Oreochromis niloticus: one gene and its partner. The protein of the gene in region 1 purifies or fractionates together with the protein of each later gene. This does not show direct contact. Links are inferred from orthologs where the notes say so. Each region holds a gene or a part of one and is shown on either strand. Other genes may lie near its edges.

Region 1 (3,755 bases):
CAGCCGAGATTCACTGATTGTTGACTTTATGAACACAGGAGCTTGATCTGATTCCAATAATAAGTAAAATTTTCCTTTGGCCAAGGCTTAAATATTACCTGTGAGCAGTAGAAGGGTTTAAATATACAATAAATGTATGTTCACAGACAATTTTTCTGTATAATAAGCATTTTAAAAATACGAAATTTACATTTTGAGTGTCTTTTGTACCTGAAACGTGTTTATTTATAATCTCCTTGTCGTCGTCCTGTAATTCCTCCCAGCCCTCCAGGTCGGTGATGTCCTCGATCTTCTTCGTGGTGGCTCTGGCTCTTTCCAGCTTTTCGAATATACACTTCACATGGTACCACTCTTTCATCTCCCCTGCAGACTCACTGAAAGGGTTTGGCACAATTTTGCCTATGCGCACTATTCCCTTCTGGATTTTGTCCTTGCATTTCTTACATCCTGCTGTGCCACGTTTGGCGTATTCAACGAGAAACCTCTGATCTGCCATATCCGGCTGATTGGAGAAACTTCGATGCAGGAAAAACCAGGGAGGATAGTTTGGGAGAAGACTGTGCTTTTGGGATACTGAGGAAAACGCAGAGATTTTCCTTGTAAAATGTAACTCATGAAAAGACAAAGGTAGACGCTCAGCACATGAATAGACAGAAAAGGCCCTACACAACCTGAAGTATTTCTGACATCTAACAAGTTTTCCAGGGGGATTTAGGACTACGCGGATAGTCTTCTGAAGCAATAAAATGAGAGTTTTCTGCATTAAGTTGCAATGATGAACAGTTCAGAACCTAAAAAAAGCAAAAGGACATAATGGTTAATGACACAGCTTTCTTTTAAATACAAGGTACCTTAATATACTAAAAAAACTCATGCTAACAGCTCTAATAAAAGGTTTACTGACTCAGCAATATTTTATGCATTCATTGCAAGTGTAAATTTCCTGATTCCAGTTAAGCAGTAACATTGCTTCCCACTGCACATTTACAGGGCTTCTGCAGGGTTCATAACAGCAAATGCATTACTTTGGATCCCTTTTTAAGGCAATTTAATACATTTTATAGTTGTATAATCCAAAATATTAAAGATAAATGGAAAGCTAGTAGGACCAGTGTGACAAAACATTATTTGTAATATTTCAGTACTTACTTAAAATCATATGAAAATGTTTTTAACGACACAACTGAGTTATTTCATGCAATGTTGACCTAAATCAGTGCAACTCTGGAGCCACATGAGTCTCTTTGATCCCACTCTCGTGGCTCCAGGTGGCTGTGACAAAACAATTAGCAATCCCTGAAGAAATGGACTACGAACCCAACAAACAAACAAACAAACAAACAAACAGCCCCACAAAATTAAACTTAGACTGGTCGTTTTTTGTTTGTTTTACTACTTCTAAAGATATTGTGTTGCTATATGTTTTATTGTTAAAACAGGCTACTTTTGCATTTCAAAAAATTTTGTTGGTAATAAAATAGATAAAAACAAAATAATACTTACAAAAATGCTATACAAATAGCATTATCATAATGAAAATGCTAACAGTACCAGATAAGCATAAATAGGCTACAGCAGAGTAGCCGCATGTGTGAAAAGATTTTTGTTTCTCCACCTATTAGTAACGTTGATAGGCTGACTTATAGTAATGGGCTGTGTAGCTTTCCTTATAAGTCTCCAATATCTTCTGTTGCTCCATTCAGAGTTTTTAAGTTGAAAGAAAGAAAGAAAGGGGGGGGGAAAGCCCTACATTCCGACGATAAATTACACAGATTTCACTGCTCTTGCAAAAGTAAAGAAGGAAAAGGTCAGGATGCTCCATACATAAAAAAAAACATGACCTTACAATTCTCTAACACAAATCTACAGAAAACAAAAGAGCACAAGGATTACCCTGTTAGACAGAACAAAAAAAGTAAGACTATTACATGTCATATATGAGCTTTCGAATAATGGCAAACAGCTAAAATTTAAAGGATTAACAAACACAGATCGATCAAAGTGCTCTAGAGTGTCACTGGACAGTTTTTCCATCTTGTTTATTCTTTACTGTAGTGACTTTAATGCAACACAATGTTTTCAGTTCAAGGCTAATAAAGGATTTTGGAAAAGACACACAAAGTACACGTTGACTTATTTTAATATTTACGCATATTTGAAATAAAACAAACAAACACCATGCCTATTCAGTTACACAAGCGTGCATTTTTAAATGTTAAAGTTAAGCGCACCTCCAAAACATCCGACGTGTAAGTTTGATGACACGAAGGCAAGTGGATATGCTCACTAACGTTAGCATTAGCAATGCTCACTTTGTTCTACGCTCACAGGAAATTATCATGTCTACTTAATAGACTGCACACCAGTTATCACAAATACTTTAACGTGCTGCTAACAGTGCTACACGTGTTTATGTACTGTACCTTAGAGAAGCCGAGTAAACTGTAATAGGACGCTTTAAACTGCTAGCAATCCTCATTGTTGTTAGCCAACAGCCCAGCGACGTTAAGTCAGCGTCATTGCAATTTAAATATGCAAAACACTTCCGGTTTGGCTCCGCAAAAATAAAAGTAATGAAATTTGTAGTAGTTCGATTTAGAACAGTTCCGACTATTTACGACTTGTATGTAACTCCTTTGTATTAATTGCATGAAACTGTCCCCTTACAAAAATAGTAAAAGGTGCCCTAATTTGTATCCAAAAGGAAACTTGACGCTTTATTTTAAAAGACAAGCAGCCATTTCCGGAAACTTTCTGCTTAACCCCGATTAACTTGACACAACTAGCAATCCTAAAGGGGCTAGTGTGTAGGCTAAGAAGCATGGGCTGCAGCCTTTTTTTTCTTTCCAGAAACTTTATTTAAACAAATATAAACAGCAACGTAACAATAACAATGACAGTATATGACCAGATTTACAGTCGAAAAGAGGTAAATACAGTCCCAGGGAACAGTTGAAACGTAATAATGGGAGGAAAAATTATGTATTATGTAAAAATTACATAATAATATTTGGAAATTGTGATAGAGCTCGCACCAGAGTTTCTTCTGCATTCGATTTGCCTTTGTTAGTCAATAATTTTATACATATCGAGTACTGTTAGGGTCGTTGCCGCTGTTTAAGTTTTCAAATCTATGCGAAAATTAAAGAATGATATCAATTAAAAATATACCAACATTTTTAAAATTTATTTTATTTTACGTACATGAAACGTTCCCAGAATTATCAGAAACTTCCCCAGAAAACAAATGTTTTTATCCACTGTGTTTTCACAAAATAAAACAGCTGTATAATAAAGCATGGGCATTTTGCCTGTTTTTTTGTTGTTGTTTTTTTCAAATTACAAACTATTGCACATTAATCCAGCATATTTTGGAATACATATACAAACAAAATAAATGAGGAATAGTTTATTTATTTAAATCACAGAAATGATCAATATTCAGTTTAAATCTTCCCAGGCTTTAAATTATTATTGTTATTTTAAAGTTTTTTTATTATTATTATTTTAGTCACAATACAGTATTTGTCTGATATGTCTGGTACATGTTCTATATTTATAACATGGAATTCACTATAAGATAACAACCCATCTTTGAACTTGGATGACATCATTGTAGATGATCCATTTCTGGATTAAAATAATTTTGTGTTTTAGTTGAATAACTTTGTTGTTGCATATGTAGGATCTGTGTCATGAGAAGTTGTGTTTAGAGGCCTAGGACCATGCCAGTATTCCCTGTTTATGGAAATGAT
Region 2 (3,755 bases), on another chromosome or scaffold:
GAACTCTACCTGACAGAATAAAGAATCTGAAAGGGAGTGCCTATTTGAGGAGTTGAGGAGATAAGCTCATGAGTGGTAGGTTTACGATGAGGACAGCCCACAGACGGGCTACTGAACACAGCAAAAAATAAACAAAAGCATGGAAACTGACAGCAGTAGCTATGTCAACATTATCAATATGTCAAGGGTATAATCACTGATACACCCTAAATAAGTATGTAGCCCACGGAGAAACCTGCTCATCCTGTCATCATTAGTAAATAGTTGTGAATGATGAAAAGCACAACACAGAACTTTCTGGAGGTAAAATAAACAGCAGAATATAGTGTTTTTTAATCTCTGGGTTTTGCATTATATCAAAGTATAATATCTTTCAGCTTGACCATAGCATAGCGTGATTACACTTTATTCGTTCGTCGTTCCGCTTTAGACTTAAAGTTTGCATAATAAATAGTGATCAGTTGTTCGTCACACTAAATTAGTCTTTAGATGAGCTTTTAGCCCAAAGTGTAACCAGAACAATGTGTTACTTTGTCTTATTTCCGTATTAACTTTTTCTCCCGTCTCGCCCATTATAGGACCTGAAAACGAAAATAGTGACTCACCAATACTGATGTAATATTTAACTCCTTCAATGAGCAGCAAATGACAACGTCTTATTCCATCTAGGGAGAGTAATATGACTATGCATTGTTGTTATATTACACGTGTCAACAACGAGAGAGTGGCGACATGTTATGGAAATATTACGCCGTGGTCCAGTTAGCAGCACCTATGTTGTTGCGCTTTTCTTCCAGATAACACGGTACCAGTGCCGAATGACTCACAAACCCAGCAGAATAAAGTCTTCTTTATCCTGCAGTTTTTTGTTTTGTTTTTTTACCATGTGATTGCGCAGTCCAGAACACGTTTTGCTATATTAACAAATTATCATACACATGATTGTACATATATTGTACATTATCATTCTTACATTACACATTATATATATTAAAACTTAAGTGATTTCAATGCTGACTTCCCCCTCAAAAAAAGAAAATAAAAGAAACAAAATTATTTCAGCTCCAGCTAGCTTGACCGCGACTTTGCTCATATAACCTATACTTTGAGCGGAACTTCACGCGGGGACGACGTTGCTAAACGTAGGTATTTTTGTGTCGGACCGCGGGGACAACGCTGCAAAATCAGTTCCCTGCAGTTTCTAGTTCACACATTCTTCAAGTTTTTCTTTAGAAGACGAAAAGAAATTGAGGTAGTTGAAGTTGTAATGATGATAAACACTACTGCGTGAGGCCGTTTAATGTCCTGTACTTTGGCTTGACTAAAAAAAAGAGTTTCAAACACAAACACAGGGGCAGACAGCCTCTCTGTGGCCGCGTGTTCGAATGTCCTGCACGCTGGTTGGCGCCTCTGGAGCTCGGATCCCCCTCGAAGATGGACGGGCTGTGATTCTGGGCCGGGGTCCGGACACTGGTGTCACAGATAAGAAGTGCTCCAGACATCAGGGTGAGGCGTCCCGCTTATGTGCCACATTTACCGCGAGACCCTCTAGATTTAAATCTGCGAAGCTGTTAGTGCTCGTGCTCTGCTGAAGCTTAAACGTTATAACAAACCACCCTAAAGCTGTAAAGTACTTTACAGTGTACAGCGCAAGAAAATACTGCTAATGTGGCTGTAAGCTTTCATTCATTCATGTATTTATGTGAGAAAGTAAATCAGTGGTGCTGAGTTTTGTGTTTTGAGTGTCTTTCATTCACTCTACAAGTCACTAACAGGGATTTAAACTCATGATGACTGAACTTTGGTTACAATTTTACATACAGATATATGTACTTATTAAGTGAGGAGCTTAAAATTGCATCCACGGGGAGTCAAATAGAGCAAGAAAAAGAACCAGGCTGGTACTTTTTTTTTTTCCTTCCTGAAAATCAGTAGGTATGTATATAAATGTTTCAGTGGTTGGGGGCCAGATGTGCCCTACAATTCATGCCTGTGCTGGGGACCACAGTGGCCTCACACAGGTCCCAAGACAGCATGCTTACTGGGTGTTCTCAAAATTTTTTAAGGACAAACTGCAGGCCATGTTGAAATGTGCCAAATATTCAGGTAATAGCTCTTTGGGAATCACCATATTGGTGCAAACATACAGTTTTCTGCCTGGCAGACTGAGTTATCTTTGTTATTTCTCATAGGTTCCATTAAGGAAATGGCAACAAATGACTGTGTTCTTGCAACACAGTTTGGAATTGGTTCTTTAACTTTTATTTAAAGACACAACACTACTTCCTTCCTTGAATTAGATATAGTTTAATGCCAGTCAGTGTTAAGTGGCCTAACAAAAAAACAAAGAAAAAAAAAAAACTAAATAAAACAAAACAAAATTTTAAAAAAATCTCTCTGAAAACGGTCAGGTACAAGGAGTGGATTGAAAATGAGTGAAAAAGCAGCTAATGTCCAAAGAAAACTTTGAAGACCTTGAGAAATCCAGGAGAACTATTGCTCAAGACTTATTTAAAAAAAACAAGTCTGTTAAAGTATAACGACAACATGGGTGGCTCAAGACTTTTTTTGCACAGTACTGTATGTAATGGCACATGGTAATTTTCTAAATTAGGAAAGGCATTTCTTTCCTGCATTTAGTTTTGATATTGCAAAATAAACACTGCATTTAAATGGCAAATCTACATTAAAATGAGTTAAACAGTTGTTGTTTTGTCTTGTTTTAGTTTTTTTGGTCCCAGCTCTAGATGTGTATACATACGAAATGTGTGTGTGTGATTGTGTGTGTCTTTTTATTTATTACAGTGAAGGTGGTGGCTTGCTTTGCAGACCAGGATGTTGTTGTTACACAGGTATGAAGAACAAACACTGGGTGCCTCCACAGTAGAATAATGACCCTGCCTTTTAAACTAGAGCACACTCCCTTCAACATCACCGCGAGTTAATATTTAACTCCAAGCAATTACACCTGATCCACCCGCAACCATTGTGTCATTATGTTCAAAGCTGATGTCAGCACATTGTCCTCTTTGTCCACTCTTGTTACCTCACAGCTCATGTGCTAACTGTAACTGCTACAGTCCAATGTCCATTTCTCCACAGCTGGGTCCCAACCCCAGTTTCGTGGATGGTGAGAAGCTGGGCCGGGGTCAGTCTGGTAAACTCAGCCATGGAGGTACTCTCTACCTAGTTAACCAGAGCCACCCATTCGCACTGAACTACTCTCTGAGCTCCAACGGAATCACCTCCAGCACGGCACAGAGAGGGCTGAAAGCAGCAGATAAGACAAAAGGAGGGACAAGCTCGAAAGAAAAAGAGGCACAGTCCAGTCCCACACCCAAACGCAACATAAAGGATTTCTTCCCCAGCTCTCCCGTGAAGGTAAACCTCTGTGATGTATTGATTCATGCATCTAACTGTCTACAAGCATCTCTATATGTATAAAGAGGAGCCAGAATGAGAGAAATCGCTGTTTTGTTCCTTGTTATTTAGTCATCTAAAAGGCAACTGAGCCCAAAGAAAGAGCAACCTGAGGTGAAGCGCCAAAGACAAGAGGAGGAAGCTTCTGATAGGCAGATGAAAGAGGAGGAGCAGGATGAGGAGGAGAGACTGGCTGAGGAACGGCTCAAGCACCTTCAGGAATTTGCCAAAAAATCCCTGACAGAGGAGAGCAGCAGCAGCAGCATCCAGCCGTCATCGTCTTCAAAACCAAGTCTAAAGAGCAGCTGGCAGCAGTTTGGCAGCTTAATGGTTTA

Evidence for each region. Proteins that work in one complex are often made in the same cells at the same time.
Region 2: the proteins of lig3 (region 1) and pnkp purify together in Homo sapiens (co-immunoprecipitation; 5 studies listed by BioGRID and IntAct, with this or other methods). This does not show direct contact. The link is inferred for Oreochromis niloticus from reciprocal best matches to the Homo sapiens genes LIG3 and PNKP.

Annotation. Positions count from the first base shown.
Region 1 is NC_031975.2:27,120,133-27,123,887, reverse strand, and holds the start of lig3 (DNA ligase 3), read right to left. Parts: upstream 2,573-3,755; 5' UTR 2,424-2,572; intron 792-2,423; 5' UTR 764-791; coding exon 211-763; intron 1-210. UniProt on the Homo sapiens protein: Isoform 3 functions as a heterodimer with DNA-repair protein XRCC1 in the nucleus and can correct defective DNA strand-break repair and sister chromatid exchange following treatment with ionizing radiation and alkylating agents.
Region 2 is NC_031979.2:9,018,899-9,022,653, forward strand, and holds the start of pnkp (bifunctional polynucleotide phosphatase/kinase), read left to right. Parts: upstream 1-1,078; 5' UTR 1,079-1,142; intron 1,143-1,148; exon of another isoform or gene 1,149-1,352; 5' UTR 1,353-1,385; coding exon 1,386-1,506; intron 1,507-2,805; coding exon 2,806-2,852; intron 2,853-3,053; coding exon of another isoform or gene 3,054-3,102; coding exon 3,103-3,381; intron 3,382-3,492; coding exon 3,493-3,755. UniProt on the Homo sapiens protein: Plays a key role in the repair of DNA damage, functioning as part of both the non-homologous end-joining (NHEJ) and base excision repair (BER) pathways.